3 linked regions of the Canis lupus familiaris genome follow. The protein of the gene in region 3 purifies or fractionates together with the protein of the main gene of each other region. This does not show direct contact. Links are inferred from orthologs where the notes say so. Each region holds a gene or a part of one and is shown on either strand. Other genes may lie near its edges.

Region 1 (7,726 bases), on a different chromosome or scaffold from region 3:
CGACGGAACATTCTGATTCCAAAGTGAGACCAGCTCCACGTGCCAACAGGTGGCCTTCAGCCCCGGGGCTCAGGACACCGGCAGAGCCTGCAGGATGCCTGTGCTCTGGCGCTCCAGGCCTGGGCTGGCCGCTGAACGCCCCGTCCGCAGGGCCCTGCCCCAGCCCCACCATCACACCTGCTCCACAGTCCTTCGGAGCTTCCCGGGGAGGGGATCCCCGGGTGGCTCTGTGGTTTGGCGCCTGCCTTTGGTCCAGGCCCGTGATCCTGGAGTCCTGGGATCGAGTCCTGCATCAGGGTCCCTGCTTGGAGCCTGCTTCTCCCTCTGCCTGTGTCTCTGCTCCCCACCCCTCTCTCTATGTCTATCATGAATAAATAAATAAAATCTTGGAAAAAAAAAAAAAAGCTTCCTGGGGACCCAGCCTCCCAGTCCTCCCCTCCAGGGCCTGGGTGGGTTAGCACAGGGGCATAGGAAGGGGGAAGCCAGAACCCCTGGACGGCCAGGGCCTCCAGTTTTTACTTCTTGTTTCTTCCAAACACATTCTGTTCATCTTCAAAATGGCACAAGACAAGATGCTCAAGTTTTAAAGCTCAACAGCTGATAACACACTTGATAACAAAGATCTATAATATTTAGAAACAAATATGATTAAATTTATGTGTCTGAATAAATCATGCTTTAGATTTAATATAAAACATGTTAAAATTTACATGCATGCCAAGTTCTATCAGTTTAGCACATTTTAAAAAGACACAAGGGGTTGTCAGCCCAGCTGGTTGTCCCCACCCCCATATGGCCACATGGAGCTCCTGGCCCCTGGCCTGCTCCCCCACCTAGGGTGTTGGCACCACGCAGGGCTGGGCAAAGGCTCCGGATCAAGGCCCTCAGGAACGCACCAATGATTGGGCCAGGCGTGTGCAGCTGACAGGCTGCCACGGCCTCCTCACAGACCTCCACTGGCTATAGGCCTGGACCACCAAGTCCACCCCACCCCCAGTGCTGACCCTCTGGGCCCCTTCACTGCTGCAGTGCCGAGCCGGGACTGTCCCCCATTCCCACTTACTCCTCCACACCTGGCCATGGCAGCGGTAACAATGAGGCAGAGAATTTAAGTTGCTCTAAATGGACCCCCACAACTCTAGGGCAGATCTAAATCCAAAGGGAGGACCTGCGCTCAGACCCACTCTGCCTGCCAACCCAGCTCATTCTCCAAGAGCGTCCTGGTGTCTTAGCAAACAGGGACTCAGGAGGCAACTGCTTTTTCCCTGCTCTTTTGCTGGTGACTCTCAGACACCCCTCCATCAGGTATAGGGGTACACTGACCCACCAGACCAGGCTAGAGGAGCTGCACAGGAAAGGGCGTCACCATCCATGTGCTGGGAAAACCATACAGAGCAGAGAGCAATGGCCTGCAGACGGTGTCCACAGTCTGTCCATCCATCCCTGGTCACCACACTGCAACCCGGACTCTCCTGCCCCCGCCCCGGCAGCTAATCCATCTCCAAGTCACCACAGCTCCTTCCTCCAAGAGATCTGCTTTGGATCTGTTCCCTTCTCCTCCTTGATGCACCTACCTGTGCAGACAGCCACTGGGGCAGGGTGCACCTTCCCTCCTCCCACTCAGTCCTGGGGTAACCACCGGTAGCCAGACTGGGGCAGGGACTCCGTGGGAGACACCTCGGGGAACACACCCCGAAAGCTCTGGCCCTCTCGGCGCGGCTTTTACTCTTCCCAGCCTCCTGCCTGGCCCGGGCCGTACTTCAACAGAGGAGTCCGCCTCCCTGCCTGCACTGTCCCCCGCGAGGTGTGGGGTGGGGGTGGGGGTGGGGGGGTGCTGCACAGGCTCCCGCTCGGCACCCGAACCTCACCTGCCCGGCCCTGGCCTGCGAGTCGCCCCCTGGCCTCCCCTCAACGAGCCCCCTTCGTGCCCCTGCACCTGCTGCTCCCTCACCGGGCGCCTCCTTCCCCTCGGGTCTTGGTCTGGCGCAGTGCCCCCTCCTCCTCCGGGGTGCTTGCCCTTTCGCAACTTCTCTTCTATCCGGTCTTTCGCTCCCCACTGCGATGGCAGCACTGCCCCTGTCCACGCTCAGGGCCAACGACCGCGTGGGCACTCCGCACCTCTCCTGCCCAGCTCTCTGGGCAGCTGGCGCCCCGCGAGACCCCACAGTCCGCAGCCAGAGGCCACACAGCCCTCAGCACCCCCGCACTGCCCCCGTCGGGCCGCGCACTGTCCCGCACTGCCCCGCCCCGCCCCCGCCCTGCCCCGCACCGTCCCCTCCGGTCCCCGCACTGCCCCCGCCGGCCCCCGCCAGCCACCGCACTGTCCCCGCCGCCCACCTCACCGCCCCCGCCGCCCCGCGCGCTGGAGCGGGAACCCGGGCTGCTAGTCCAGTGCGCACGCGCAACGGGGGGGCGGGGCCGCCGCTGCGTTAACCCCCTCGGCGCCGGCCCGGAGCCGCCCGCCCTGCGCGGCCCTCCCGCCCCCAGCAGTCGGCCGGCCCCCTGCGGCACGCAGCCGGCCCAGGGTCGCCCCAGATCCCCGCCTCGCGGGGGAGACAGAAGACGAGGCCCCGACGCGGCCCGTCGGGAACGGCCGGGGCCCTTTAACACTCCCTTCGCTCCCTCCATTGGCTGAGGCGGTCACGTCATCGCCGCGCGCCGGAGAGCAGCGCCTTCCCGCTCCCTAATCCTGACGCCAGAGCGGCGCCGGCCTTCGAGGCTGAGGAGAGCGGGCGGAGGTGGCGGCGGCGGGAAGATGTAAGTTGGGGGAATCCGACCCCATCCGAGCTCCGGGGGCCGCCCGCAAGGCTCGGCGGGGCGCGTGGTGGAGCCGGCCCGCCCCTCGGCCTCTTGGTAGGGACGGCGGCCCGGCGGCGCGACAGCGGGCGCGAGAAGAAAGAGTGTGGCCCGGGGCTGGCGGAGTGGGAGGCGCCGAGGCCGCGGCCCGGAAGTGGTCGGGGCCGCGGCGGGCGGAAGGGCGCTCACGTCGGCCCCCTCCCCCTGCGGCGGCCCCGGCAAGGCCCGCGGGATTCGGAGCCGCCCTCGGGCCGGCCCTGGGCTGGGAGTTGCGGGCGCCGGCGGACGGGGGCGGCGTGGGTGGAGTTGCCCCGTGGGGGGCCCGGGAGGCGCGGGGACCGCGCCGCTGCCGCGCGGGCGGGCGGGCCGCCCCACGAGGGGGGCGCGGGAAGGAAGGGAGGCCGCGGCCCTTCTTGGCTGTCGCATGACTTGTGCCAAAAACGTGCTTTTTAAGTGGGGAAGGTGCCCCGAGGACGGGGCCGAACGCCATCTGCTCGAGGTGTGACTAACTGTTCTCTCTCTCTCTGGCTGTTGGACGCGCACCTGTCCGGAGGATGGGGGAGGTAACCCAGGTCCTGTGCCGCGACCCGAACTTGTGTGGACAGAGCGCCGCGGGCTCTGCTCCCCAGGCCCGGCCGCGCCCGCAGCGCTTAGAGTCCGGGGCTTCGGGTGGTGCTGGTGGTCGGAGGGCCCTGGGGTGGGGCCCGGGGGTGCGCCCTGCCGTGGGTGCTGCCCCGGCAGGCGGGCGGCCCGGCCTGGGCCTGAGCCTGAGCCTGGGCCCGGGCCTGGGCCGGGTGGAGGTGTTGGAGAGGTCTGGCGCCCGCGGGGGAGTAAGTGTATCACGGGTGGGTCTTCACTGCCTGTACGTTGGAGAGATGGTATTGGGGGCGTGGGGTGTCAATACTTGGCTGGATCCCTCGTTAACCTCCTTGTGTAACGGGGCTGCTGGAGTGCTTGAGGACGTGCCGGCAGCTCACGCTCTTCTCCTGGGACAGGGCCGCCCTGGGTGATCCTCTTAACGGGCCGTCCAGCATTCAGGAGATCGTGTGGGCCTTTGGGAAACAAGAGTTTATGTAGGGGAAAGCCTGCACACGGGGAGGAGCACCCCTGTCTTGTAACATGAGCGGGCATTTAATTGAGCCCTAACTAGATGCCAAGTTTCCTTCCATGTGAGTAAACTGGGTTGGTGATCTTGGTAACTACGGAGGTGTAGGAGCTGTATCCCCCAAAACGCTGATGAGAGGTGGAGACTCAGAACAGCTGTGGGACTTAGCCCCGGTCCCAAAGCAGAGCTTGGAATCAGACAGGCAGGCTGACTCCAGATTCCTGCCCACTGGACCGTACTTCCTGGTTGTCCAAGGCCACTGACTCCATCCAGTGCTGCTTGCTTACTACCTTACTGTTCCAAGGCAAAACGTCTTAAAAGATTGTACCAGCCTGGAGAGGAGCCTCAAAGGTGACACCCTGCTTGCTTCTGCTCTAATTTGATTGTCCAAAGCTGGCCTCCTTTCTTGAGTCACGACATTCATTTAGCATTTTGCACACCCCTTCACATGTGAGAACAGGATCCCGGGTGGTTGCCATGTCGATGTTACTGACAGGCTGTTGAAGATGAGACAGGAGGAGTTGACACCACCATTCTGCAATCTTCGCTTGCAGCTCAAGCAAATTGTAGAAAAACCTCCCTGGAAAAAATGAAGGTCGCGAGTCCCCCAGGAGACCAGGCACATGATGGTTTGGTGGTTACACTGACCACTCACAACTCATGCTGTGGTGCGGGCACTTGGTGAGACCCTTAGGAGCAGTGCCCTCCAGTTCCAGTGAATACCCGCATAACCACCACGTAGAACCTACAAGTTACATTTCTGCCATATTTGCTTTGTCATAGAACAGATCGCCCATCCACGTTTTTTGTTGCATTTTGAAGTAAATAGCAGGCTTTGGTGTACTTTCCCCATGACGCTTCCATGTGCATATCATTAATTAAAGTTCAGCATTTGCAATGATTGCTTTCTAACTTAACTATTTTACTACTTTTTCAGTGTTCTTATGGGACATTTTATCTGTTTGCATTTGGGTGTTAATGTTTAGATGCTGGTACTTGTCACTTTTGAAATGGTTTTTGATTCTAGTCATGGTATGTTCGATGTATCCTACAAAGAAATTGCAGCAGTAAAACCTGAGATCTAATCACACCAGTGATCCTATCAGGAGAGCCACACTTGACTCTTCTGTTCTGCATGCAAATGTGGTGTTGTAACATTTCTAAGGGAATGGTAAAGGGCTTATCAAACTTAGGAGTGAAAAACAGGTATTGTACCACCTGTAAAAGAACAGTGACAGGCACTACCACCCTTTCCTTAAGGAAAAAACAACAAGGTGAGGTGAAGGTCTACCTGTGGGGGCAAGACCCTCCCTGAGGAAATGGAGGAGATCCCATATGTTCCTGGCTTTGTGGACGCTCGCTGCTTACTGTGTTCCTTGCCATCTTGTGTGCTCACCTTTTGACTGCAAAGTAGATTTGTTGCCTTGCCAACTCGTTCACTCTGTAAATCCTTTTATCTTGTTATTAGGCTGCACTTTGGCGTAAATTGCAATCGATTAGGGATCGTTTCTCAGACTCGAGTTAGAAGTGAGAGTTCAGATAAGTGAGGCCACCATTGCTGCTTTGAACACCTCAGAAGGGGAGAATGGATTTATCAGGAGTGAAAAAGAAGAGCTTGCTAGGAGTCAAAGAAAATAATAAAAAGTCCAGCACTAGGTAATCCTTCTGTCAGATTTTTCTAGTGCTACTTTGGGGGTGCTCATTACTAGGGACCCTCAGCAAGGGGAAGAATGGAAATGACTTACGTTCTACAGTGACGTGTCTTAAGCCACAGATCATTTTGCTCTGTGATCACCTGGGATCTCTATAGCCCTTTGGATCCCCTCTTTTGGGTAGTTTTGTTTTAGGGTTTGGTCAGAGGGGCATGCGATCTCACACTCTTCCTCACCATCCAGGGCTCCTTCTCCTACCAAACGCAAAGACCGTTCTGATGAGAAGTCCAAGGATCGTTCTAAAGATAAAGGGGCCACCAAGGAGTCAAGTGAGAAGGATCGTGGCAGGGATAAAACTCGGAAGAGGCGCAGCGCTTCCAGTGGTAGCAGCAGCACCAGGTGGGACCCGGCAGGACAGAGCACCCCTGAGCACCCGAGAGGGCTTCTCTTCTGTGGCCACGCCCCTTTCCCTTCCCAGGGAGCTGGCAGGGTGCTCTGTGGTCTTCGTAATTTACCAACATACTCTGAGGTGGTTCATCAAGGCCTGGATTATGGCAGAGTGGTTTGAGTTTGCTCTGGTTACATATGGAAGATGGTGTTGAGGTGTTTTCTGGAGATGTTAAAGACTGGGACATCTTGGGGTATAAGTTTCTCTCGAGTGTTTTTTTGTTTAGAGTTGTGATTGGATTGCTCTAGCCTAAAGCTTATTTTTCCCTCAGTTGAAAACCAGCCCGAGTCCCTGGGTAGCTACCATCCAGGCAGGGCTGGTGCTTCTGGTTTGCCAGACTCTGTGCCTCCCAGTAGGTGAGGCTCCTGTATGGCTAGGAGGTGGCTCTTTCCTGTCACTGCACAGTGTGATTTTCTGTCCCTACCTGGGGTTTCAGCTGGGCAGGAGTGGGGCCCTCCGAGGAGGGGAGACATTGAAGCTTGGAAATGGGAGGACATTTACCTCTTGGGAATAGGAGCAAGTATGGGCTCATGTGTGGGAAGAAATACTCTCGTGCACTGTTGCCCCTGACCTCACCGTCTCATTTGTCAGGTCCCGGTCCAGCTCTACCTCCAGCTCAGGCTCCAGCACCAGCACAGGCTCCAGCAGTGGCTCCAGCTCTTCCTCAGCCTCTAGCCGCTCAGGAAGTTCCAGCACATCTCGCAGTTCCAGCTCCAGCAGCTCCTCTGGCTCACCCAGTCCTTCTAGGCGTAGGCATGACAACAGGAGGCGTTCCCGCTCCAAGTAAGCTCCTTTCCAGCACCTCTTCTCAACTCAGGAGTGCCTTGGTTGGGAAGGGATTGCCCTCAAAACTTGTGAATTATCTGGGAAACTAAGTTCACAAATGGGGGACGATAAAGTTATTCTTGTTACTATAGAAGTAGATCTAAAAAGGAGTCTTTCTATTTTAGTAGGATTTCTGAAGCAGAGCTAATATGAAATACATGAACTGGTAGGGGAAGGCTTCCTTATAAAAACTATCTTAGTAGCAATTAGCAGCCCCACTAAAAAATTTTGACAGAAATTGATTGTTTCTGGTGTTTTGTTTCTTCAATCAGATCCAAACCACCCAAAAGAGATGAAAAGGAAAGGAAAAGGCGGAGTCCTTCCCCTAAACCCACCAAAGTACACATCGGGAGGCTCACCAGGAATGTGACCAAGGTGAGGGATCCTGGATCTGTCCAGTGGGCAGTGGGATATGTCTATTCTACATATGTTTTAAATGGAAAACTAGAGAAGCAGGCCTCAGCCTCAGGTGAACTGAGGGCATAGGCTTTCCAGGGCCTGACCAGAGCGTTTGTCAAGGGGAGCAGTAACTCCCTCAGGGTGACCCTGTGTGAGAAACTTAACCCCAGGTGCCAAGGCTATTGATGTGTCGTGCATTTTCAGTTCCCACATGGGTAGTTGTGAGTATGCATCAGAGTGACCTGTCTTTGCTCTAGGACCACATCATGGAGATATTCTCCACCTATGGGAAGATTAAAATGATTGACATGCCTGTAGAAAGGATGCACCCCCATCTGTCTAAAGGCTATGCATACGTGGAGTTTGAGAATCCAGATGAAGCCGAGAAGGCACTGAAGCACATGGATGGAGGTGAGTGACCTTGCCAGCCCTCTCTGAGCTCCCTTCTCTATTCCCTATGCAGGACAAGCTACCTGCCACACATAGGGAACTTTAGAACTG
Region 2 (7,982 bases), on a different chromosome or scaffold from region 3:
CAAAAGGAATGGATTTTCCTTAGAAATTGGATGACAGGGCAGCTCTGGTGGCTCAGTGGTTTAGCGCCGCCTTCAGCCCAGGGTATGATCCTGGAGACCTGGGATGGAGTTCCACGTTGGGCTCCCTGCATGGCGCCTGCCTCTCTCTCTGTCTTCCGTGAGTAAATTAAAAAAAAAAAAAAAAAAAAAAAAAAGACATTGGATGACATCACTGTTAATTGTCTAGATTACAAAAGACCAGATCACCTTTTCTAATTTTTGAAACAAAAAGTTTCACCAGAAAAGGGCAGGAAATGTATTTTAAATGATATCTGAGTATTATTTATTAATATTGAAAGTGGAAAGTAAAAGGTACTTGTTGAAAAACTTACTTCCTGTCTGAATGTCCAAGTCATTGTTTTATTAAAGATAAATTAGTCTTTAGAAGACTAAAAGAAGGGAATCTCCTTTGGCAAATTTTCTCTTTCCTCACTATTCCATAGGGCCTTTGCCTTACAAAAGTTAACTTAAGGGCACCCCCGGTGGCACAGCGGTTTAGCGCCGCCTTCAGCCCGGGGTCTGATCCTGGAGACCCGGAATCGAGTCCCGTGTCGGGCTCCCTGCATGGAGCCTGCTTCTCCCTCTGCCTGTGTCTCTGCCTCTTGGTCTCTCTCTCTCTCTCTCTCTGAATAAATAAATTAAAAAAAAAAAACTTACAAAAGTTAACTTAATACCTAGTAACCTAGAGAAATATGCATGTAATAATACAAAGTGGCCAGCAGATGCAGCTTCTATCTTAGAATGAAAAGGACATGTGACACCTTTGCACATGCTTTTCATTTTTTTTTTTTTAAATATAGTTTATTTCTAGAAATCTGTACACCCAATGTGGGGCTCAAATTTACCACTGTGAGATTAAGAGTCGCATGTTCTTTCAACTGAGCTGGCCAGGCATTCCATCTTTTAATATATTCCTTTTGTGTATTATAAAAATGTGCTTATAGCAAAGTATCTGGAAAATACTAAAAATTATTTTTAAAGTTCATAATTTCACCAGTCATAGGCATCCACTATTAACACTTTGGTGAATTTCCTTTGCATATATTTTGACAGGACAGTGATTGTCTTGTATATACAAATTTACCTTTCTTCTTTTTTCTTTTTTTTCTTCCTATTTTTAAATAAGAGCCAAGAAATGCCATGTCCTTGTGATTCTTTTTGTCAACATGGATTTTTTTAGATTGTTGATTATTGATGGATCATAACACCCTTCTGTAATTCTTTATTTCCCATTCATCCTTTTTTCATTATTTTAAAACATGCTATTTTATATATATAAAAGAATATGTGCAATCTATGTGTAGGTTATAAACTATGTAAGGAATATCTGTGGGCACTCTGCCAATTCAACAACTAGAGTTTACCAATAATTCATAAAATTACATGTTCTTGGGACGCCTGCATGGCTCAGGGGTTGAGTGTCTGCCTTCAGCTCAGGTCGTGACCCCTGTGGTCCCTGGGATCCAGTCCCATGTCAGACTCCCTGCAGGGGGCCTACTTCTCCCTCTGCCTGTGTCTATCTCTCATGAATAAAATCTTTTTTTAAAAAAACAATCTACATGTTCTCTTAACCCTTTCCTCCCTCAACTATTGTTTAACCTAAATTAAAACAATTGAAAATTGAAAATTTTCTCTCATCAAATTGATTTTTTTCATTGATACTAAGTCCCATTTTTGTTACTAAAGTTTCTACTAAATACTCATGTTGTGATCCTGTTACACAGCCAGGCAAACGTTTTTGGTGATAGCTCTAACCTTAATCCTTACCTGTTTCCTTAGGCTGCTTCCTGTACCAACTTCCCCTCAAAGTTATGTTCTTTTTTAATCCTAAAGTCCAAGGCCAGTGTGGCAGTTCAAAATTATGCTTTTGTAATTGAGGAGTAGGCAAAAAAAAAAAAAGAAAAGCCATATTTGGAGCTTTTAAAAATTCCTGATTCAAGAGTGACATTTAGGATTAAGAGAGGCATTCCAGGGATCCCTCGGTGGCGCAGCGGTTTGGCGCCTGCCTTTGGCCCAGGGCGCGATCCTGGAGACCCGGGATCGAATCCCACGTCGGGCTCCCTGCATGGAGCCTGCTTCTCCCTCTGCCTGTGTCTCTGCCTCTCTCTCTTTCTCACTGTGTGTCTATCATAAATAAATAAATAAAAATTAAAAAAAAAAGAAAGGCATTCCATCAGTGTTAATGCTGACAGCCAGTGGTTTTCTAAGAACCTATGAAATTAAAAGGCTTTAAAAAAGGACGGCACAGTTCCTCCCGGGTAATTCAGTAAGGGTGTGACCTTGCATATTTTATTTACACCCCCGCCCTAGTTTTCCTCTCCTTTCTTAAATGGGATTAGCAACAACTCGCCCACTTTCCTGGGTTGTTTGTGAGGTACAACAGTGTCTGGAAATAATAATGTTGTGCACGAAACTCCTACCCAAATGGCAAGTAATTCTTTAAGAAGAAAGAAAAATGACCTTGAATTTCAGCGCGAAGGACGTGACTGGTGTGTGTCTCCACAACTACCCACTGCAGCCGCTGAGAGACGCCACAGGAGCTCTCGCCTGGCACCGACACACCTCCGCTCGACGTGGAGGACGAGAACTGACGGCCTGAGGCTTCGGACGGGCCTGAAATCCAGCGTCTCTCGCAGTGACTATCAGCGGGTCCTCGCACAACCCACTTCCCTCCAGAGCAGTCGCCGTCGCCCCCGCCCCCGCCCCCGCGTCAGGACTCGCTTAGCCCTCCTCCTCCCGCCACCGCGAAAACCGCCTCCGCGCCGGGCCCTGGCTCCTCCCCCTCCCCCACAATGCATCGCTCTGTTCCCTCTAGGCGGCTGCTCCGTCACGTGTCGCGCGGCGGCGCGCGCCCCCGCTTGGCGCACGCGCAGAGAGCATTCCCCAGCTATTTTTCTCCGTGGCAGCGGCGGCGAGCGGAAGTGCTGGGGAGCGCCAGTTCCGTCTGTGTGTTCGAGTGGACAAAATGGCGAAGATCGCCAAGACCCACGAAGGTAAGGCGTCTTCCCGTGCTCCCGCGTCTTCTCTGCTGCCAGCCTGCCAAGACTCGATTTTACTCGGTTTTTGCCTCGGCCTGTGGTTTCGTTGGTGGGGTGCCGCGCCCGCGCGTGGGGGCCCTGGTCGGCTCCTCGGCGCTAGCGGCGCAGGCCACTGCCCCACGTAATGGCGTCCTACTCCTCCACCGCGGGCAGGCGCTTTGTTCCGCGTTTGGGTCCTGTTCCTTCAGAGTTGCTTCTCTTTTCCGAGCGGAAGGCCTCGTTCAGACGGCTCGCCGGGGGGGAGGCCAGGGCCGCGAATCGGGGAAACGGGCGTGAAAGCCGGGAGTCGCCCTCGCCTCACGGAACTGTGGCGGGCGCAGTTCGTGCCCGGGGGAGTCGGGGGAGCCCGGGAACACGGCAGCCGCTTTTCGGCAGCGCCAACTCGAGCGTAGCCTGCTTGAGGCCCGTTCCTCTTCGTCTCGGCTAATCAGGCATCTAAAATACTTTTTTTTTTTTTTTTGTATGAAGTGATTTGGACATAAAATCTGGTAGTTTTTTCTTCCCGTGATCACTTGTATATTGGTGTTTGTTCCCCACCCCCCCCCCTTGGAGACTGATGATTGGTGGAAGAGGGAAAGGCACGTTATTATTCCCAGCGGTCAAAGCTTTCGAGGTACCTGATCGTTTTGTGGAATTCGGAGAACACGGAATTTAGGAAAATGCTGAGAATAAGCCGGAGTTCTTGAGGGAGTATCCAGTTTCCAGAAATGACAGGAAATAGGGTCACTTCAGAGAAGATGAGGCATGGGCATTGGGAGGCGCGTTCCTTAGGATTTTTTTTTTTTTTTTCTGACCTGGAATCTGAAGCGTTCGTCGAACGGGAGGCTTCCAGGAGTCATTTGTATTTTCACGGGTCGTTTCCAGGTGCTGGCTCCGTGTGAGTCCGAAGTAACAAAGAGTAAGGCCGTGCAAAGTTTTACAGGCTCCTGGGGAGACAGGTGTGTGTGTGTGTATACGTTTTCATTCTTTCATGAGGCAAATTAACGCTTAAATAGAAATACAGGCCGCATGTTCTGGGATTCTGGGTAACGGAGTGATTAATTCCTGCCTAGGTAGGACTCTTCCATAGAGGAGGTGACGTGTCCCTGGCCTAAACGGATCAATCCGTTTTAAATTAGGGGAGGACATTTGAGCCTGAGAGGACATCTTGTAACGAGGCAAGGAGTCCTGAAAAGTGTGTTTGAGTAGTGGACTGTGGCGCTGCAGGGAGGGAAAGTGTAGGCGAATCTGGAAAGGTTGGTTGGGACCAGGATGTGAATGCCCTGGAATAATTGTGTTCCCCGCCAGAACTGAAGTCCAGCTCTCTGCGACATGCTAATTAATGGGCAGTGACTTTAATACTCTTCTCGTTGTGGGGGTAGGTATTTAGGATTTATTTATTTATTTTATTATTATTTTTTATATTTTTTTATTTATTCATGAGATATTTTTTATTTTATATGAGATATATATTTTATTTTATTTATTTATTCATGAGAGACACAGAGAAAGAGAGGCAGAGACACAGGCAGAGGGAGAGGCAGGCTCCCCCACAGGGAGCCTGATGCGGGACTCGATCCCGGAACCCCAGGATCACGCCCAGGGCCAAAGGCAGGCACCAAGCCGCCGAGCCACCCGGGCTGCCCGGTATTTAGGATTTAAACACTGTTTTAGCCCTGAAGGTTGTTTAGGCACTTACTCTTCTGTCTTTAGACTAATCCGGATGTAACCTTTTGCAAAATAATTAGAAACTGAAGATGTTGCTCTTGTTTATTCAGGAGTAGGCTGTTCATTGGGGGCAGTTTGTGGCTTTGATCACTTGTTTGTTGATATTTTTAATCATAAAGATACTTTTGGACAGGGAAATCAAGGTTTGGATCAGGTTTCCTGCTTTTTTGAGACTCAATTAAAAGCTTTGGTCTATAGAAGATTGAAGTTGATTGGCCAAGTTTGCTTTTTTATTTGGAATCTTGCTACAGTATGAATTAACTGATGCTATAAAGAAAGTATAGCAGTATTCAGTTAACAACAGCACTGTGTATAAGACAGTCTGTCACTGTGAGTTTTTGGTAAAGGATGATCAATGTTTAGTGGAAATATGCATAATATTTACATAGAGATACTTTCCTAAAGATCTGGAATGGTTCATGGTGCATCTCTTCTCTTTTCCCTTAATAAGTCATCTCTGATAGCCTGGAGCAGATTTCTTGGTGGGTTTATTTATTTATTTATTTATTTATTTACTTACCTAGGTGCTACTGTAGCTCTTTATTATACTAGAATATTCTATTGTGTTAAGGTTTTTTAAAAAATATTTATTCATGAGAGAGAGAGAGAGAGGCAGAGACACAGGCAGAGGGAGAAGCAGGCTCCATGCAGGGAGCCTGACGTGGGACTCCATCCCGGGTCTCCAGGATCACGCACTGGGTGGAAGGCGGCGCCAAACTGCTGAGCCACCCGGGCTGCCCAAGGTTTTCTTATCCACGTTGAGACTGATGTGTACAGGAACTATTTCTTGGTATCCCCAGTACCTAATGCCTAATGAGTACTGAGTATTAACATTTATTGAGAGATTATATTGGAAATATTAAAAGTTTCACAGAAAGGGGCCGCTTAAACTCACTTTTGAATGATTGGGTAGGTTTGGATACATTGTTTGGCTGAGGTAGGTGGGAAGTAGGACTTGTTAATGTATTGGGAACCTTCTGCGCTGAGAGGAAGAAAGGTTTGCATCAAATTAAAGAAAGCTTTGAACTCTAAGTTAGGCTTGACTTGGCTTTCCAGTGACTACAGAATAAAGTACCTACTTCTCCCAGGTGACAAGTTATTTCTGCATTTTGGGAAAGTCTTTAGTTGCAGTGTTGAAGAGTGGCAGTAAGAGCAGCAATTCTTAAGCTAGGCTTGAGTTTGAACCTCACTGTAGTAACTTTAAAAATGTATATTCTTTGATTTTTGTTTTAGAGTTGTCCATCATCATGTGGTGTGTGTGTGGTTTTTTTAAGCTATGGTCTTTTTTTTTTTTTTTAAGATTTTATTTGAGAAAGGGAATAAGAGACAGAGGGAGCACAAACTGCACAAACGGGGAGAAGCAGAGGATAAGGGAGAAGCAGACTCCCCACTGAACAGGAAGCTGTAATGTGGGCTCAACCCCAAAATTATGACCTGAGCTGAAGGCTGACGCTCAACTGACTGAGCCACCCAGGCACCCCATCTTGTTGCTTTTTTAAGAAGATTATATAATCTTTTTATCCTAAGTAATATTGCTAGTAAGGAGTTTTCTTTGTTGTATTTTTTTCTTTGTTGTATTTTTAAAAAAGATTTTATTTGTTTATTCGTGAGAGACAGAGAAGGCAGAGACGCAGGCAGAGAGAGAAGCAGGCTCCCTGAAGGGAGCCTGATGTGGGACTTGATCCCGTAACTCCAGGATCATGCCCTGAGCCAAAGGCAGATGCTCTACCGCTGAGCCCCCCAGGGATCCCTGTAATTTAGTTTTAGAGTAATTGCTGCATCAGTAATTTTTACTTGAATTTTGTAAATTAATATTGTATTCAAAGTGATCTAGGTAATTGTACCTTCCTATATGTTGTTTTCACAGGTTATTAGTTAAGTATCATTGAGCCAAACTGATAACTTGTTTTTGTTTTTATGCTGTCATAGTCCTTTTTCATATTTCTGTTACGATCAGCCCTTAATATCCTTTTTTAAGCAACCTGATTGTTTTTTACCCTGGTGGGTCACATTTTCCAGTATTGAAAGATAAAAAGGGGATCCCTGGGTGGCGCAGCGGTTTGGCACCTGCCTTTGGTCCAGGGCGTGATCCTGGAGACCCGGGATCGAATCCCACGTCGGGCTCCCGGTGCTTGGAGCCTGCTTCTCCCTCTTCCTATGTCTCTGCCTCTCTCTCTCTCTCTCTCTCTCTCTCTGTGACTATCATAAATAAAAAATAAAAAATAAAATAAAATAAAAAGAACTGGACGGGTTCACATCAATAAAATCTTTTGAACCTTTTGGCATGTTTAGTTGTGTCAAAATATACAGTTACTACTGTGCATAATCTTGCTGTTCAGCAGTTCACATGTTGTTGACTTTGACAGACAAGGAGCACACTTTTTTTCTCTTGCGAAGGGGAAGGGAAAAATGAATTATCCTTAAATTTAATGGCTTGTTCTGCCAGTGCCTTTTTTTTTTTTTTTTAAGATTTTATTTATTTATTCATCAGAGAGAGAGGCAGAGACACAGGCAGAGGGAGAAACAGGCTCCATGCTCGGAGCCTGACGTGGGACTTGATCACAACCTGGGCCGAAGGCAGCGCTAAACCGCTGAGCCACTGGGGCTGCCCTGCCAGTGCCTCTTGAATGGATTTTTGGAGAGCATCACAAAGCTGAAAAGTTTATTTCCCTTAATTTTGCTTTGTCTGGGAATAGTCATGGTATTCATTTTCTGAGATTTTTATTTTTCTGTGTTCAGAATACTTACTGTTTGGTTTTGTAGACTTCCAGTGTGCATGTTGTTAGTAAAAATAAAAAGGAAAGCAATTGTTTAAAGATTTATTTTTTAAAGATTTTATTTATTCATGAGAGAGAGAGAAGCAGAGGCACAGGCAGAAGGAGAAGCAGGTTCCATCAGGGAGCCTGACGTGGGCCTCAGTCCCAGGTCTCCAGGATCACGCCCTGGGCTGAAGGCGGCGCTAAACCGCTGAGCCGCCCAGGCTGCCCCGCTTAAAGATTTTTTAAAAGGTTTTTCTTTTCTGATTATTTAATACTAGATTTAAGTAATGCTAATTAGGGATTAATCACTTAGGAATTGATACCTTTAGTGTTCAGTAAAATAATTTACCACTATAGTTAATTTTCTGGTTGGAGTTCTGTTTAAGGAAAAGGATGAAAGTTGGGATACAGAACCCCACTTGGTATTTTCTGGATGACT
Region 3 (7,821 bases):
ATTGAAGGAGCTTGCAGGGATATATGCCAATCTGTTACAGCAGGGGGAGGAAAAGGGATATAGCAAGTAAAGCAATTTCAGATAATAATAAATGCTACAAAGAAAATAAAACATCTTTAAAAAAAAAAAACAATAGGGAGGGACATTTTAGGTTGGATGGATAGGCAAGACATCACTGAGGAAAAGATGTTTGAAACCTACACTAATAAAGACAATGTTGGATAGAACATTCCAGGCAGGATGCAGCAAATGCAAATGCCCTAATCTAAGAACAACCTAGGTGTGTCTGAGGAACAGAAATAAGGTGAGTGAGGTCTGAATGCGGCAAAAGACTATGAAAACGGTAGAAGATAAGGTGGGAGTTCAGATTTTATTTCAGATATAGTGGGAAGATAGCAGAGAACTTAAAATGAGTGGAATACATTTATATTTTGTAAGATTAGTCTGGATAGAAAAATGGGCTATACAGGACAAAAGAAAAAAGGAAATCAATTATAAGTCTAAATTAGGAAGGTAGCAGTTGAAGTGGAGAGAAATAGCTTCCTTGTTAACACAGATATGACAGTGGCTTTTATTTTAATTACCATAAATGGTTTTCAGAATAAATATATAAGCCATGAATTAAAACACATATATCTAGCTGCTTGCATGATATTCCTTCATTAGACTGCTGAAATAACCATGTTCTGGTTCTCTTTGTATGTTCACAATGCTTTGTCCATAGTAGTTACTCAGTAAGTGAGGTGGGCAACAAAACCTCTGAGAAGGGCTGGCAGGGGGAAGAGTCATGAAGAAATCCACCAATGCAGGTGGTCAGGAAGCACCACTGGCTTTCTGTTCCTTCTTGTGGGATTACTGCTTCCTTAGACAAATGTGCTGGTAATGTACTTTGTGTAGGGCTCCATTAATACATACACACAGATTCAATGTCATACGCACGGCAGTAAAACTCCTCTTACTTCTTAAAACTTCTGCTCTATAGGACAGTTGCTAACACTCACCTGCCGGCCCACTCGATCCGGGGGAGGCCACAAGGCATCATCCTCTTTGGTAATTTCACTGTCATCAATTATTCTCTTCAGTTCCTCCATTACACTTTTATGTACATAAGCCTGAAAGCAAATTAAAAAATGGAATTTAACTTGCATCCCTAAGCAAGTGTTCTGACTCAGATAATGATTAAAGATTAAAAAGAAAAAAAAAAAAAAACCTGCTAATAAAAACTGGTCTCTGGCACCACTGTAAGGTAGATGGCATTCAGGTGTGACCTCAGCATGCTCAAGAGGGCAGGGCCAGAAGTGCCCAGTGACTATACATCATACCCCATCTACCGGTTTCTACTTCTTGGCACATCCTGTTCACTTGGAACTTCTCCTTGCTTACAGACTGAATTCACACCTGAACCCAGAACAAAAGATCTGTGAGTGAACCCTGGTTATTCCTACCGAGATGACATGCTTATGAAGACCAGAGACACATCTTTTAAAATACATTTTGTATATCAGTCCACACATAAAATATATATGTATATAAGCAGGCTGAGACATGTGGGTAAACATAAAACTGAATGCTAGTTAAACATAACAGTATGAAGATATAGTAACTGTTAAGACATTTTCAAATGTGACAAAGTGGTTAAAAGGAAAGAGAAGCTTTGATGAAGCCTCAATAGTGAGGCAGAAATTAAGCAAAATAGAGCACATGGACTTGACAGAGGCAGGCATAGCTTTGAATTCCCACTCTATCTCTTGCTCGTCAGGATGAGGTGACTTTGAACAAGCCCCATAATTAACATCTGGGCCTTCATTGTAAAGGGTATATAATACCGCTAATCAAAAAGGCTTACAATCAGGGTGAAATAAAATCATATGTAAAACACCAAGTGCCAAGCCTGGCATCTAACCTGCATTCAATGATGTGAACTGCTTTCCCATGTTCCCTTTCCCCCATCCAAATGCAAATTAAAGAGCTCTTCTGAAAGCTATGCACCAGGAAATACACAAAACACTTTAGGTATAATGTATTTAATTCTGTGATAGCACTGGGGGGGGGGGGGGGGGCAGGTTAATTATATCTGTTTCTGCAGACAAAGAAACTAAAACTTATCAAGCCAGGTTATTTGCCCAGGGGCATAGAGTAAATAGCAGATTCAGGGTTTAAACCAAGATTTGCAAGACTTTAAATGATTACAAAAGTGGTTTAACATTGTAAAAGAAAATATAAACTAAAAGATGTGAGAAAAATTTTAGAAGGTGTCTATAGATATGTCTATACTTCTCTATTCTTTTTCAATACTACTTACTCCCAGAAAGAACAAAAACATGACAAAAGGCTAAATTGTAGTGAAAGAAAGGCTCTCAGAAGGCTCATTACCTCTTTTCTGATCATGACATCATTTTTGTAATTGCTGTTGTTGGCATATCTCAATTTCCCTGTGAGGAGCGAAAAAACAAATTCAGTGTATATTAAAAACGTATAAATAAAGCTTCATTAGCTCACCAAGACTATCAGCTGTTGCTTAAAATGTATCCTAGCTTTCCCCTCAGCGTCTACCAGATTTACTATTCAAACTTCTGATGTTCCAACAATAGCAGTCTTTCAGTTCTTTATTTTCGGCTATTAAGTAGCTTCAAAGCCAGAATATTGCTGACATTGAATTATAATTCTTGCAAAAGGCAGCTCAGGTGTGATAAAAGAACATAAGCAGAACATTGTGACTCTGGCAAATCATATCTCTGCAGGTTAATGTCCTCAGCTGAAAACAGGGATAGTGATGGTAACTTACTTGCACATAAGGCCTCCTGAGGCTCAGATGAATTGTGAAAGCAGTTTGAAAATTGTAAAATGCTGTTTACATATTATTCATGTGACCATGCAATACTCTGATCTATTCCTATGGTGGAAAAGTTTTGGTTTTATTATTAAGCATATTTGGTATACAAGGCCTTTTGTGTGTATATGCATCCAAAAGGCTATATGCTAGATATGAAGGAAAAGAAGAGAAAAGGAAATAGATGAATTTTTACCTTTGGGATTACACATGTAAAAAGAGCCAGATTAATTGATGCCTCACTGCACTCACTATCTCTGCCTTGTCTCTCTTGGTTCAGTTCATTCTCCATACGGTAGACAAAGTGATGTAGTAACAGACCAATCTAATTAGGTTACTCTAATACTTTTTTTTTTTGGTAAGATTTTATTAATTCATGACAGATGCAGAGAGAGAGACAGAGACATAGGCAGAGGGAGAAGCAGGCTCTCCTTCAGGGAGCCCAATGCAGGTCTCGATTCCAGGCCCCCAGGACCATGACCTGAGCCAAAGGCAGACGCTCAACTACTTAACCACCCAGGTGCCCCAGGTTACTCTAACACTTTGATAATGACAATAGCTTCTCACTGCCTTCTTTTTTTTTTTTTTTTAATTTTTATTTATTTATGATAGTCACACAGAGAGAGAGAGGCAGAGACACAGGCAGAGGGAGAAGCAGGCTCCATGCACTGGGAGCCTGACATGGGACTCGATCTCGGGTCTCCAGGATAGTGCCCTGGGCCAAAGGCAGGCGCTAAACTGCTGGCACCACCCAGGGATCCCTTCTCACTGCCTTCTTGATAAAAATCCAAATTCTTCAACATGGCATAACTGCTAAGCTGAGCCCCTGCCTGCCTTTCAGGCTCCCTCCTGCAATAGTCCACTCTTACACAGCTGGAGTTAACCACCTTACTTGGTTTCTGCTTGAAACATCCCATGCACTTTTTGGTTTTCAGCTTCTTTGATGTTGATGTCCAAATGCCTAACCAACTCCTGCACATTACTAAGACTATCACTCCTCTTCCCCCAAGTCATTTTATGCAGGAAGCTTTCTCCCATCCTCAGGCTACCTGAGGGTTAGGTTAGGTTGCCTTCTTTCTGCTCCAGAGTCCCTTCCGTTTCTTTGTACCACAGCATCAAACACACTATCCTATCATTGTTTGTTTACAACTGGGGCTTGTCAGATTCATCTTTGTGCCCCCATTTAGTGGGAGGTTTTTTATTTTTTATTTTTGTCATCTTTGATTCCTTTTCCTCCCCACAGTGGTCCTTCCCCCAGATCTTATCAAACAGCAACGTCCTATTGGTTCTGCCTCCAACAGTATCCTGAACCCTTCTATGCGCTTTTGATAGTACCTTAGTCCCAACCAGCATCCTTTTTACCTTGACAACTGTTCACTGTCTCCTAATAAGTTGCCCTGTCTCCACTCTTGCAATGATTAGAATAGATTACTTTTTCTAATCATTACTCTATTTCTAATCATACTCCATGATTAGAATACTTTTTCAGGAAGAGATCACATCTCTTCTCTCCTTAAAACTTTCCAGTTGCTTCCTGCTGCACTTAGAATAAAATCCAAACTCTCCACCATGGCCTGTAAAGACCTACATGGTGTACCCCTGCTTATCTGACATTGTCTCCTACTATTCTCCTCGGAGCTCACTACTTCCTCAGCCATACTGGCCACTTGGAACATGCTCGTTCATGCCCCAAAGCCTTAACACTTGTTACTCCCTCTGTCCAAAATGCCCTTCTTCCCGAGCTTCACAAAGCTGGCTCTCCTTCTTGTCACTTAGGATTCAGTTCAAATACTACCTTTCCAGAGAGCACGCCAGTGGCCACTCTGCTTAAAAGCAGTCCACTTTTTAGCAATTACTCCATCGTTTTGTTTCATGCTCTGACCACTCGTCATTATCTGAAATCTTTGTTTGTTTATATCTCTCCCAGCACCAGAATATATACGCTATGAGAGGAAACTTGTCCCAAATTGTGAAAGAGAGCCTGGCACAAAGTATGCAATCAGTGTCTGCTGAATGAAGCATTCTAGTTAAAAAAAAAAAAAAAAAAAAAAAAGTTCGTGCACATGGGAAGAACCAGCGGAGCGGTCACAGGAGTGGCCCTTTCAGATCCGCGCCGCAGTCATCAGTCCCGTCCTCTCCTAGCTCCTCCTCGCACATTCCGGAGCCCGGGCCTCCCCGCTCGCCCGACCCCAGGCCCCGTCCTCGCTCGGCCGGGGCCAGAGGCCGCTCTTACCGTCGGGCCGGAACTCAAACTCCAGGAACTCATGGCCGAACTTGCCCTTGTGACCCACGTAGTAACGCAGATAAAAGTCACTCTCCATGGTTCATAAGGAGGCAACGGAGACGAAACTTGACCAGCAAACCTCGTCGCCGCGCTGTGCGCCCAACACTGACGTTTACCGGGGCGCGCGGATGTGACGTCAAGGCGAGGCTGCCGGTCGCTGCGAAGCGGCCCAGGCCGTCTGCGTTCCCGGAAGTGGCGGCAAGTCTGGCGCATCCCCCGGCGGAAACCAGAGCCCCGTCGCCCGGAGGCGGGGTCAGCGCAGCCCCGCCCCCTCGGCCGCCGGCGGGAGCGCGGCCACGGGTCGCCCCCGGGTTTCCCGAGGCTCGAGGCCGCAGGCGACGCGAGGGCGCCCGGGCTTGGGCGGCGGGTCTGGGGACCCTGCTTCACGACGTCCGGCTGAGCTCCGCGAGGGCTGCGCCCCAGGCTCGACCTCCGTGTGCGTGGGCCCAACGTGGGCGAGCCCGAGACAGCTGTTCACCGTCGGTGATGAAGGAGCTGACCCCACGGACCGCCGCACGCGCTGGCGCGTGGGTCAGAAGTTGGCTCCGGCCGAACTTTGCTCACGGAAACGCTCCCCACAGACGCCTTTCCTGAATCCGTGGTGCCGCTGCCGTTTCCCTGGAACTGACCTCTCCCTTTTATCCCTTTTACTTTTACTTTTTTTTTTTTTTTTAATTCCTACCTTTCCCTTTCTACTTAACTGGTCTCTAGAGCAGGTGCTGCGGGTAGAGGTTAAACTGGATATGGAATTTCCCCTTCTCGTTTTCTAGGCTCTGCTTACCCGGCAGGGATTCTCCGACCTGGCTGCACAACGGAGTCATTCGGGAGCATCTTAAAAATACTGATGCTTGGGCCCCACCCCAAACCAGACAATCAGGTTCTCTCGCCGCCCTGAACCTGGGCGTTGGTACTTTTTTGCAAACCCCCCCCGCCCCCCCCCCCCCGCCCCAGATGAACAACGGGGCAGGACTGATGCCCAAGAGCCCCTTGTCCTTTCAGGCCAAATTGGTTGACCTCTGTGAAGTCTTTCAGGCTGTGGAAAATTTTCCTCCTTGAGTAGGCAAAGGACAGTCAAAACCCTAATTATTAGGAAACTGCATTAGTTCGTGGAAGTTCCAGTGAGAGCAGGGAATTGTGAAATCAGGTCTAGAGACCGTGCTAAGATGGCATCATTCTGGGGGCCTGACCACTGTAATTGTATACTGTTCTTCATTGAGGTCAGTGGCCTCTTGATTCTCATTCCCAGTCTTAGCATTACTCCTTTTCTTCCCCCCAAAAATAACTGGTGTAGAGTGGGTGTGAAGAGGGAAAATCACTGGAAGCTTGTGTTAAAATAATCCTTGTGTGATTTGATTCGCTATGATCGAAGGTGTGAACTAACCTTCCACGCCACAGTCATCAGTCCCTTCCTCTCCTAGGATCAGTGAATCTCGAGGTTCACTCAAGTTTATCTTTAAAATGAGGGACAAAAAAATAAAATAAAAATAAAAAATAAAATGAGGGACGCCTGGGTGGCTCAGTGGTTGAGCGTCTGTCTGCTTTTGGCTCAGGGCATGATCCTGGAGTCCCGGGATCGAGTCCCGCATCGGGTTCCCTGCATGGAGCCTACTTCTCCCTCTGCCTGTGTCTCTGCCTCTCTCTCTCTCTCTGTCTCTCATAAAGTCTTTAAAAATAATAATAAAAAATAAAATGAGAAAAATAATGTTATACATCTGGCAGGACTGTTGTAAGAATAGAAAACAAAATCTTGGAAATTGGAAAAATACTTTGCCAACTGTAAATTGCTATAAAACTATAGGGTGTTTTATTTAAACACACACACACACACACACACACTGGGGGACACCTGACTGGCTCAGTTGGTTGAGCATTAGACTCTTGATTTTGGCTCAGGTCATGATCTTGAGGTCCCGGGATCAAACCCTATGTTGGGCCCTCCCCCTCCTCCCAAGCAGGGAGTCCACTTGGGATTCCCTCTCTCTCCCTTTCCTGCTGCCCCTCCCCCTCTAATAAATGAATAAATCTTTAAAAAAAGAAAGCATGGGATATGGGTGGTAACAAGGGAATTGTATGAAAAAGAGAAGGGAACCACGAGGTATTAAGCACCTAATAAATGTGAATCCATTTACAAATGCTTATTCTTTGAATCCTCACAACAGTCTTGAGGCGGTAATTCAATTAAGTATATAGATTCATCAGGTAATTACCACGAAGTTATTTTCCAAGAGTGAACTTATAAAAATTATACTGTTAACTGTTGAATCTGGGCATCTGCAGATGTGGCAAATATCAAACGTTTTGAGAAAACTTAAAGGAACTGGACACCAGTCAGACTGGATCCAGGTTTGGGGGCATGAGACAACATGGTATAGCTGAAAGAACATGGTCTGTGCACTTATTGTTATGTGCTGGGAATAATACAATGGTGAACAAGACAGACCTTTATAGAACTTGCAGAGGAAGCAGTTGAGCATACAAGCAATTATAATGTAGAAGCAACGGTTACAAATAGAGGAAGCACAGACTACTATGGAAGCACATGGGATGGCTCCTAATCCAATCTAGGGGCCTAAGGGAAGTCTTCCTGAAGGAAATGTTCCAGATAGAGGGCCCAGAACTGTGTGGTTGGAATACAGAATGAAGTTGTGAATATAGTAATGAAGTTGGAGAAGGGACAGAAACCAAATGGCTTACAAGGCATATTAAA

What was found.
Region 1: the proteins of MAGOH (region 3) and RNPS1 purify together in Homo sapiens (co-immunoprecipitation; 3 studies listed by BioGRID and IntAct, with this or other methods). This does not show direct contact. The link is inferred for Canis lupus familiaris from reciprocal best matches to the Homo sapiens genes MAGOH and RNPS1.
Region 2: the proteins of MAGOH (region 3) and SF3B1 purify together in Homo sapiens (co-immunoprecipitation; 3 studies listed by BioGRID and IntAct, with this or other methods). This does not show direct contact. The link is inferred for Canis lupus familiaris from reciprocal best matches to the Homo sapiens genes MAGOH and SF3B1.

What each region holds. Positions count from the first base shown.
Region 1 is NC_049227.1:39,161,987-39,169,712, forward strand, and holds the start of RNPS1 (RNA-binding protein with serine-rich domain 1), read left to right. Parts: upstream 1-2,617; 5' UTR 2,618-2,755; coding exon of another isoform or gene 2,756-2,757; intron 2,758-3,276; exon of another isoform or gene 3,277-3,295; intron 3,296-5,369; 5' UTR 5,370-5,486; coding exon 5,487-5,557; intron 5,558-5,796; coding exon 5,797-5,952; intron 5,953-6,592; coding exon 6,593-6,784; intron 6,785-7,098; coding exon 7,099-7,201; intron 7,202-7,482; coding exon 7,483-7,636; intron 7,637-7,726. UniProt on the Homo sapiens protein: Part of pre- and post-splicing multiprotein mRNP complexes. Auxiliary component of the splicing-dependent multiprotein exon junction complex (EJC) deposited at splice junction on mRNAs.
Region 2 is NC_049258.1:6,836,834-6,844,815, reverse strand, and holds the start of SF3B1 (splicing factor 3B subunit 1), read left to right. Parts: upstream 1-2,873; 5' UTR 2,874-3,004; coding exon 3,005-3,032; intron 3,033-7,982. UniProt on the Homo sapiens protein: Component of the 17S U2 SnRNP complex of the spliceosome, a large ribonucleoprotein complex that removes introns from transcribed pre-mRNAs.
Region 3 is NC_049226.1:56,147,901-56,155,721, reverse strand, and holds the start of MAGOH (protein mago nashi homolog), read right to left. Parts: upstream 5,282-7,821; 5' UTR 5,152-5,281; coding exon 5,064-5,151; intron 2,433-5,063; coding exon 2,374-2,432; intron 1,113-2,373; coding exon 1,002-1,112; intron 1-1,001. UniProt on the Homo sapiens protein: Required for pre-mRNA splicing as component of the spliceosome. Plays a redundant role with MAGOHB as core component of the exon junction complex (EJC) and in the nonsense-mediated decay (NMD) pathway.